2 linked regions of the Neodiprion lecontei genome follow. The protein of the gene in region 1 interacts with the protein of each later gene in a pairwise test. Links are inferred from orthologs where the notes say so. Each region holds a gene or a part of one and is shown on either strand. Other genes may lie near its edges.

The links. The genes of interacting proteins can lie anywhere in the genome.
Region 2: the proteins of serine/threonine-protein kinase NLK (region 1) and dihydrolipoyllysine-residue acetyltransferase component of pyruvate dehydrogenase complex, mitochondrial interact in a two-hybrid assay, tested with the Caenorhabditis elegans proteins (2 studies listed by BioGRID, with this or other methods). The link is inferred for Neodiprion lecontei from reciprocal best matches to the Caenorhabditis elegans genes lit-1 and dlat-1.

What each region holds. Positions count from the first base shown.
Region 1 is NC_060264.1:9,756,618-9,761,247, forward strand, and holds the start of serine/threonine-protein kinase NLK, read left to right. Parts: upstream 1-1,605; 5' UTR 1,606-3,509; coding exon 3,510-3,799; intron 3,800-4,630. UniProt on the Caenorhabditis elegans protein: Has a role in the Wnt signaling pathway controlling the asymmetry of cell divisions during embryogenesis. Operates in the AB and EMS cell lineages influencing cell specification.
Region 2 is NC_060260.1:29,790,881-29,796,598, reverse strand, and holds dihydrolipoyllysine-residue acetyltransferase component of pyruvate dehydrogenase complex, mitochondrial, read right to left. Parts: upstream 4,143-5,718; 5' UTR 3,964-4,142; coding exon 3,842-3,963; intron 3,243-3,841; coding exon 3,091-3,242; intron 2,836-3,090; coding exon 2,432-2,835; intron 2,209-2,431; coding exon 1,829-2,208; intron 1,667-1,828; coding exon 1,367-1,666; intron 1,261-1,366; coding exon 1,131-1,260; 3' UTR 504-1,130; downstream 1-503. Other genes in the region: U5 small nuclear ribonucleoprotein 40 kDa protein, read right to left, coding at 1-7, 95-208. UniProt on the Caenorhabditis elegans protein: The pyruvate dehydrogenase complex catalyzes the overall conversion of pyruvate to acetyl-CoA and CO(2).

The sequences.
Region 1 (4,630 bases):
ATTTGAAAAGTCCGAATCAGGATATACCGTTCCTCCTTCTGAAAATAAAAGGGAAACAGTTAAGAAATTTCGTCTTGTCTTCGGGCTTTGGTTCCAACGAGCTATATGTATATAGGGTGAAGGACTTAAAATGCTACAGAACAATAGCACTGAAACTATTGATGATATCCAAAAATGTTTCAGATGAACGGAAATTTTTCATCGAGACATAAAGAATACATACGTAATCCGATGTGTAATTAGATATTTATACCAAAAGCCCTAGTATTTTCATAAAAAATCACTCAGTTCATGATTCTTTGGTTCATTGTTTTTTGTTAGATAAATATGTATGGAAATTGCTGTGACATCTTTAGCGGTTTGAAGATGTTACAGAGTGCAAAATTATGAATAAAAAGAAGACGCTTATTCCATTTTTTTTTTTATTACATTTGAATTTCTTATATCGTACGTTCGTTTATGCGGTTGAAATTAAAAAAGAATTAGTGATATTGTCGTTGATTAAGAACTAGACAATAAATCAGTGCAGCGAGTATCTTTTGATCTCCATTATTTCGGATGACTAGTCGACAGGGTTGGGAAACATTTGAAATGGTTCCATCTCAAATGGGCAATTAAAATGCAAAATTGTATCTCGCATCTTCTATTTCAAATAAATTCAAACGGTTATGCTCTATTTTTTATTTTGAACGGAAAAATGTATACATTTAATCATTTGCAAAGCGCCTCTGTTGAAATGGATTTTTATCCTTCTGAAAAATTTCCTAGCCAATCATTTAGAACTATATTCTCTCGGATGGGAATAAATAATGACAGAGTCAGTTATTCGCTAAATTTTCAACTCAAAAAGAGATCGTTTAGCAATGCATCAATTCTTTCGTTCTAATGAAATAGTGATTCGGTAAATACACGCGTAGGTAAATATGTCTGTCAGTAGTCTTTCGTTTCAGACAGATGAGAACGTTTTAAATGATATTCTACAAATAACCAGCGTTTGAATTACAGCGCTCGCAATATTTTTCGAATAACTATTTGACTAGCCACATCTAGCAAAAATCTTCAAAACTGCAGTCATAATAATAATAATAGCGAATGTAAAAAATAAAATGACGAGTACAAGATAGCGTATCTCGATTATTATAAGAAACACAGTTATTTGCAGCATGCATAAAGTCAGTTCGAACACCTATTTTTCATCTTGAATGGGAATAAGCAGAAAATTTTCATTCGTCCATACACACGATATTTCTACAAGCATTTTTCATTTTCCATTTCGAATGTCTTGCTAATCGAACGTTCGACGTAACTAAATTCACATCGATATTTCGTTGAATGAGTTAAACGAAGAGGAAACCAACCAAGCTTTGTACGTTCACGCGACACCCGAAATATCCGAGGAATTCCTAACGACGGGACGTTCGAGTCAATCCGCGGGTGGAAATGGTTTGAAATTTTCGTATCTCACCCCCACCGTCTATCGGCCGCAATCCGGTTGCGCGTTGTAGTTCTGCGCAGGTCACGTGACGGCCTTTGTGCAGCTGGCGCTGCCCTCGGTGGGGAGAAGAACCTAAACGCGAGTTGACAGACAGGCAGTGGCCAGCAAGCCTTGGCTGCGTAAGGACGCCTTTCGTCATTAAAGACATCATTGACCAGTATCAGAAAAGATATACGCATATGTACATATATAAATGTACGTACGTATGTCGATCGGTCGCGTACGCGTGTGAGGACTAGCCGAATAGTGTGGCTGTGTGTGTGCGTGTGTGTGTATGTGTGAGTGGGTGGATTTGTTCTTTTATTTTCATTTCATTTTTTATTCGTTTTAAAATTCTACATTGTTGTTACGGGGAGAGGTTAAATCCGCGTCAAGAGTTGTGTGTCGATAACAAGGATACCGGAGATAAATCACGCAAAACCGTCTCTCCCTTTCTCTCTCTCTCTCTCTCTGAACCTATCGCTCTCTATCTTCCCCGCCCTCAGGGGAAAATAAATAAATTAAAAAAACAAAAAAAAATCGCCAGCCCCCGAGCATCGGGTTTCGTTAATTTCTGGTTCGTTGTTTCGTTCCCCCTTCGCCCTCCCGCCGTCATCATCCTCCTCCCCCTCCTCCTCCTCCCAGCGACCAAAGAGTCACTGCCAGCAGCTGAGCGAGTGCACGTCGCGTTTCTGTATGCCGCGCCGAGTGTCGTGTCGTCTCTGTGTGTCGTCGTTGTGCGATCGCGCGTGCGACGAGGAGAAATATAACCTGATGTGAGTGAAACGTTGGATTTAAAAACCGCCTTTCAGTTTTTCCGGAATACCCCAACCTGTTAGTTATAAGCGGCCACCGGTCGTTTTGTCCTTCGCCCGATCGGAGCCGGAAAAATCGTGAGAATAGCGGAAGGTCGATTCGTCGCTTTCTTTTCTTTTCATTTCATTTGTTTTCTATCGGGTTCGAACCGAGGGTATTATTTATCGTACGTAAAGGCGAAACGGAAATAGTTGCACGCTGCTTCGGGTTTGCGTGCGGAAAACTGAGGTGAAAAAGAAGAGTAATAAGCGAGACAAGGGTAAACAAAGGAATAGGAGGGTCACCGTTGTTCGCAAGAGCTGATTGTAATAACCGTGACACATTGTGACGTGTGACGAGTGGAGAAGGTGAAGCAAAAGTTCGGGATAAAAAAAAAATTCAAACAAGTTTCGTTTTTATTCCACGTGTAACGGTGCCGCCGAAAAAAGAAGAATAAGAAAAAAGAAACAAACGAAACGATACCTCGTCGATGTCGAACAGGAAAATCAGCGGTGGTTAAAAGTTTGTGATCTTTCGCTCTTCGTTTTTTTTTTCCAACGTCAAAGCGACCGTCCCGCGTACAACAGTGCAATAACACAGCCGACAGGGAGATAAAAAAAAAAAAAAAAAAAAATAGGCGGCAATTGGTGATATGAAAAGAGGATTATTTTTCGGTGTGTAAGAAGTGTGGGTTTTAAAAAAAGTGACAGAAGAAACAACGAAAGGATCCGAGAACTAATAATCAGCGTCATATGACAGCGGTGAGAGGAGTTGGGAAAAAATTTTGTTTTAACGTCGATTTTTGATCCGAGATATTTGACGAAACCCGTGCTTGAAAAAAAAAAAAAAGCGTTGCACCAAGGGCTGATTAAGTTGTGTACAATCGAACATTCAAAGAATGCGAAGAAACGACGCGCCATAGAGGGTAAAACGTATAAATAGTGAGGTGGGCGAATAACGAAGCCGAAAGCCGTAGGGACCAGTTCGAAAACAAAACAAAAGAGCGTCGTCGTGCATCTTCTCGGTGCGTTTGGAACAGCACAGCAGCGACGGAAGAGGGTGAAAGTGAAAATCGTCGGTGATACGGGACCGCCGCTTGCCGACGGAGAGACAGACAGACGGGCGGAAACCCAGTAACAGAAGTAGCAAAAGTATACGAACAGGGGAAAAAAAAAATCTGCGACCAATCACCTCGAAGTCAGTCGGCTCTTCGCCTAGGGGGGCCTTAGGTGAATTTTTGATGGCAGTGGTGGGGCCGAGCCGGCACTCGCGGGTGTCCATGAGCGTGTCGATGTCGCTTATGCAGGGGGGTGGGGCCGGGGCTACCGGCGGCGGCGGCGGAGGCGGCGGGACGACCGGGACTCATCCGGGACAGGCGGTCCTAGCAGCGGCGGCGGCCGCCGCCGCCGTCGCCCAGGCCCCCCCGACTTATTACCACCCCGCCGCCCCCGCACCGCCACCACCACCCCCTACCCAGGACCCAGTACAGCCGGACAGACCCATTGGATACGGGGCCTTTGGAGTCGTCTGGTGAGTTGATTATACACGTGAATCTGTTGGTAGTACGATAGATATCGATCGTTTCTTTGTGCGCAATTGTCGTTATCGTATTTGGATGTATTTATTTTGGGACGAGAATTATTCACGTGCCCGTTAAGGGGCCATCCATAAATTACGTCACACGTTAATGCGGGGGGAGGGGGGTGGGGTCAAAAGCTTTGTGACGTCACGTGTTAAAATTTAAAATACTAAAACACGAAATTTATATATAAAGATTATTTAATGAAAATAAGAAAAAAATGAAAATAACTGTTTTCTTTTGATTATTTTTAAATACATGCATAAGTTTGAAAAATTTGTGACGTCACATCAGGGGGGGGAGGGGGTTCTAAAAATGTCACAACTTGTGACAAGGACGGGGGGAGGGGTTTAAAAGTTCTAAAATTCGCGTGGCGTAATTTATGGATGGGCCCTTATTGTGTGAGGGGCCATTTCACCTCGGTTCGATTAGGGTCTTATCAGAAAATCAACCTTGGTTGGATTTGGATAGCGATGTTTTTTAATTTTTCTTCTAAATCGAAAATGTGTTGCATTGTTTCTTTTTTTTTTTATTATTTTTTTTATTTTGGATTTTTCCAACCCTTCCCGGACGTTCCCAGAGACCATTGAATGATGATATTTTGGCAATGAATGCGCGACATTTTTTAAAATTATGAAAATAAAATTATGTAAATTCTGTGATCTAAACCGAAAAATATTCCAATCAAAATTGATGTGGCCAGGGAGAACAGTAATTTTTTCGTTCATCTTTTAAGTATATAATTTTTTTTTTTTGCCCCAGTCCATTGCATTTTTTTGGTT
Region 2 (5,718 bases), on another chromosome or scaffold:
GAGGGCCCTGTGATAAGAATTATCCGATTTAGTTCCAAGTAATAAAAGTGTCTCAATTCGTCTCTCAGAGAAATATAAGTGAGGTTATATTTACACTTTGGATCACCGCCTTTTCTCTACTGCTGAAAACCACTTCATTTTTCGTCCTTTTCGAAGCTGGCACCAATGCTAGAATCTCATCACCTTTTCTCTTGTCTAAGATTGGCATTGTTATTGTAAAATTGTCAAATGTCTGTTCACAAACAACAAACCAGCGAGCAGCCGAACTGTGCGTATATCATCCCAAAGTAAAAAGACACTAGCGTTTTGTGATTGCGAATTGGGTGGTACGCTGACATCTGTGCAACAGCCGGTCAGTATGGGTTGTGCTTTACTTACTGATGCGAGGTCTTCCGTTGTTTTTCTATGTGACGCACCGATGATTGGTACACACGATTGTTTTTGTTATGAATCGCTGACATCAGGACGATATTAGTAGTTGAACAAGTAAAAAATAAGGCAAGTATTGATATTGTATAATTTATTAAATACTTAGATTACTTAAATATCTATTTACTTTGCACAGTAGCATTAATTTTCATCTATTTAGATTTTAATGTTTTAAACATTATCATCGCAGTGCCAACATTTACCGTATTAAGAGGACGAAAAGATTGGCAACATCAAGTATGTACATGTTTATTCTGTATCAGTTACCTGAGGATACTAAACTGATTTGATCTATATAAATAATAGGAAATAACATTTTTATCGCGCTATACATACGTTCGTAGATGCGTTCAACAGTTGAACGAGTACATTTAACGACGGCAAATATAACTCAGTTTGTGTATTCTTTTGTACATTTTCAAATCTACGGAATAGTACATACATACGTATGTAACATAGGTATATACTTATCGCGAAGCAAACTTATTTTACACGCAAAGTAATCTACAGTGTTGCAAGCTGGAAAATTATGTTATAAAATTGGTGCTACTTAAGTGATCCGCAAAATCAATTAAATGTTATTATCCACAAAAAATGTACACAGGACAATCCACTTGTCGCATACCCCATGATGGCTCTTAGGGATGATCTAAAGTAGGCTTGTAGAATTGATGAGTGTAATTTCTCAGCACATTGATTCTTTATAGGAGCATCGTCGTTGGATTTTCCATGAAACTTTTGAATGCTGTGAGCCATTGAGCTCCAACCGCTCCATCCACAGTGCGATGATCACAGCTGGCTGTAACGCTCATGAAGTTTGCAGTTTCGAATCTGTGAAATTTGAACAGTAACAATATGATGGAAAAAAGTGCTCGATTAACTGAAAATAAGTCTAATAAGACTAGTTTAGGTACTATTAGGAGATTTCTTAGTTTACCCTTTTTCGTTTTTCGCTGGAATCAATCGAGATTCGGTCGTACCAACAGCCAGAATGATGGACTGTGGTGGATTTATGATTGCGGAGAAGGTTTTAATACCGAACATTCCTAAGTTTGATACAGTAATCGTTCCACCTTGGAATTCGTTAGGCTGTAGCTTCCCATCTCTCGCCTTTGCTGCCAACGCTTTCACTTCTTTGCTGATTTGTACAATACCCTTTGTGTCAGCTGCGAATACAATCGGAGTGATAAGACCATTGTCTGTACTTACAGCGACGCTTACATCCACATTGTGATACCTGAAGAGGAGGAAAAGAAAATGTAATATTAATTTAGTTGAGATGCCTAGGTTAGGAAATTCATTGTTTTGGTATACAATTGGTACGAAACACTACTTATTTCATTCTGCGATCACTCCCGTTCAATTATAAATTACTTTTCATATCATTATGAGAACTCACTGTCTAATGACATCCCCAAGCCAAGCAGTGTTGCCATCAGGAACTTTTTTCGAAGCCATTGCGATGCCTTTGATGATGATGTCATTTACGCTAAGTTTCACTTGCTCTTTTTCTAACATTTTGTTGAATTGTTCCCTCATTTGTAAGGCAGCGTCCATCTTAATGTCAACTGTCAAATAATAGTGTGGAATATTCTGTTTGCTTTCAAGCAATCGTTTTGCTATTACCCCTCGGATATTTGACACTGGAATATCTGTGTATACACCTCCAGCTGCAGGTGCTGAAGTTGGCGCGCCAACAGACGAAGAGGGAGCTGCAGCAGAAGCACCTGCAAGGTCTTTGGAAGTCACTGAAGCGTATAATCCTGAACCCTTGAGACCCTATTTGAGACAGAAAATCCATTACCTTCGAAACTAAAAGTATCCTGAGATTCAGAAGAGCTGTTACTAAACATTTCTTCTTCACTAATATCCTACATATTAGAAAAAAATTCTTTGTTTCTAAGCAACAAAACTATTACTACAGTTTGATAAATCTATTTTTTCACCTCTTCAATTTGTCGATCTCATATCTTGACAAGTCGATCAATAATATTTCACTTACTTGTAAACTGAGCCCCTTTTCACCTGCAAGCCGCCTAGCTAACGGACTTGCAAAGACCCTGTCACCAGACATAGATGTAGGGGTTGCTGTAGCAGCTGGAGCTGGAGTCGGAGTTGGGGCTGGAACAGCCGCTGCTGGGGCAGTTGAAGCCGGAGCTGCTGGAGCCGGAGGCGAGGCTGATGCTGCTGGAGCAGCTGTTGCTCCATCAGCTTTATAGTTTTTGAAAGCCGCAACGCTCGCCTCATCGGAAACAATGATACAAACAAGTTGGCCAATCGGAACATTTTTAGTACCAGCAGGCACGATTATTTTTGCCAGGTAGCCTTCCTCCGGAGTTTCAAATCCCATTGTGGCTTTGTCAGTTTCAATTTCAGCTAGGAGATCACCTTCGTTCAGCTTGTCACCTATGGAAAAAAAATTGTCACATGAAAATGATTAAAGATTGGTGTCAGTATAGATTGAATAGGCTTGCAAAATGTTTTCAACTTTACTAATATTATCTTCTTAATAAAGGATTGGATCTTTCGAAATCTGGGCTCTACTCAAGAATGTTGGCAGATGATTGTAAAAGAATTTTCAGTTGAAATTCGAAGTAACTTTTATATATTAGAATACACATGTTGCGAGTTGATATTTATAAGTAATTTTGCAAAGTTCACCTTCTTTCTTATGCCAACTAACTATAGACCCAGTTTCCATGGTAGGTGAGAGAGCGGGTAGCATAACGGACACGTGATCCGGATAATCTGCGTAGAACCTCAACTGCTGTGTCCATGCTGTCACTGCACGAGGGCTGTGACATAACTGAGGCCTGATCAACAATTGTATCATGTATAAGATTGTTTTTTTTTTCCAGGATTCGAGTTGGCAAAAAGTAATTCTCAACAGTATCTATCCATCGTATCAAATTTACAGTAAAAACTGGAGGTGTCATATGATATTTAATTGAAAAAAGGTACAGAGAAAAGATGAAAAAACCACACACTTCTCTGTAACTACAAAGACACAAAGTGTGATTGAATTTCGTGAACTCAAGTAATAATCGATGGACACCAGGCTTGAAAATATTCTCAACTTGTGGATTTAAAAATTTTTTTTTTTTTAGTTTTATCATTGCACACATGGTAATGTATAATAATTGTGATCACGATGATGATATGAACCATTATCAAAGATGACGAAGTTACAAACCTCAGTGATAATTCGTAAGAACAAAAAAATGTGAACAGGAGTAGAAGAGGAGGAAGCGAGAGTTAAATGATTTGAATAGGAAATAGAAACATACGTAACGTGACGTAACCTCAAAATCACGACGATCAATGTTACGTTACGGTGGTGTTATAACAATTTGTAAAAGGTGTGAGAGAATGAAGATTGATTCATGGGATATACGAAGCTGCGTTGAGATACCTTTGCAGATGTTTTCTGTGAATACATTCGACTGCCAAACATCGTACGACATTCGTCCGTACAACATTTCGAAACGTGACGCGCACCAGATCGGATCGGAGGCTCGTTGTGGTGCGTAACATGTCTACGGTGTTGATAATTTTCAACAGTTCTATTTGTAAAGATTCACCCGCGGGTATGTAATTCGAATTTGAACCCTAATTCTTCTCAACGGCCAAGGGTATCACTTTTTGGTCAATCGGGTCAGTGACGGTCGTAAGATGGCAATGGCAAATTAGAGGTCGTCTGCAAGGTCACGTGGGCACAAGCACAGTTTTCATTGAATATGACGTAACCACATGCCGCGGAATGCGGGGATATGATTGGTTGGCAACAGACTGGTCTTTCAGTCCTAAAAACTCCACTTTGCCTTACGACGTCAACGGCGCTGATGCTGTCCGCCTGACGTAGCCTGACGTTGCAGGGCGGTAGGGTTTAATTAAACTACCCACAGCAACGAACCGAGGATTAAATACGATAATCATCGATACTGGAACCGCATTGCAGAGTTCGGTTGACGTGGAAATTAACATGTCGAGATTGTCGGTTACAAGACCCTCGAGCGACGCTGATGAAGATCCTAACGTAAAGACGGATCAGGGACGGTTTACTTTTTCAAACGGTGACACCTTCTCCGGTGGATACATGATCGTCAAGGATATTCGATCGATTATGAGACAAGGTTTAAAATTTCTAGCCTTGTATGGTGTTAAATTTTTGTCGCGAATACTCGAGGTTTCGTCTTTCTTTTCCTGAGAGATTCAACGTTGGATATAAATATAGCTTTTTACCGAAGTAAAAAATTTTAAAGTCGTGTATCAAGTATGTACGTGGCTTATTTTGATTTTACTTTCATCACGATCATCTTATTCAGGTAAGAAAATATTATACAAAATTTTCCCATTCTCAAAGTCTGTAAAAAAATCTTTAATTTTTTGACAAAATAACCCGGAAGCATATGATATGTCTGTAATTTTGAAGACGGAGAATACGTGAACGCTTTCAAAAAATCTACAGGTCATGGAACTTACGTAACTGGAGATTTCAATAAATATGAAACTTTCTGGGTAGAAGATCAAATCGTCGGAGAAGTGTACATATCGTAAGGAACTGAAAAATTGTTCTACATATCTCGTTGCTGGCGAGATGAGAGTCTGCAATAATATTGCATATGATAAACATAAAAAATTGTATTAATCCAATTGACCTGCTTGTAACAATGACGGGAAGGCAGTCACAACAACGGAACAGAGTACAAAGGAACACTTTGCGCTTCTGGAGAAATGTTTGGTCGCGGAGACTATACTTTCACTGACAATTCTGTGCTTGGAGCGGTTTGGGATAATAATGTGCCTGTAGCTGATATAACATTGAGAGAACCTGCAGGTTATACTTGGAAAGGTGTTTCTGATGGAAAAGTTAGTTGAAATTCCATTCTTACCAATTACACCGGCAGCTAAGAGAGAATGAACTCTTTAGTACCATTTCATGTACAGAAAGTAGTATTCACAGCTGGTAATCATTTTTGGGATGAGATTAATCCTCCAATCGACCTGGTAGAGGACGAAGAGGAGGAAGGTGAAGAGCATTTTGACGTTGCAATTGGTTCCAAGGGCGCTGAATTTTAATACGATTAATTCTTCAGACATGAATGTTGAAACTCGATGGAAGGACAAGTTTCTTTATTCGAAATCTTGATCAGTTATTGGATGACAGCAAAGCAACATCTTCGTGAATTGTATAATATACATCCGTACCAATAATAATCATCGTCATTTGGTACTTTATACAAAATGTTTATTGTTGTTAAATCGAGCGTATGTAAAATTCAATCTGTA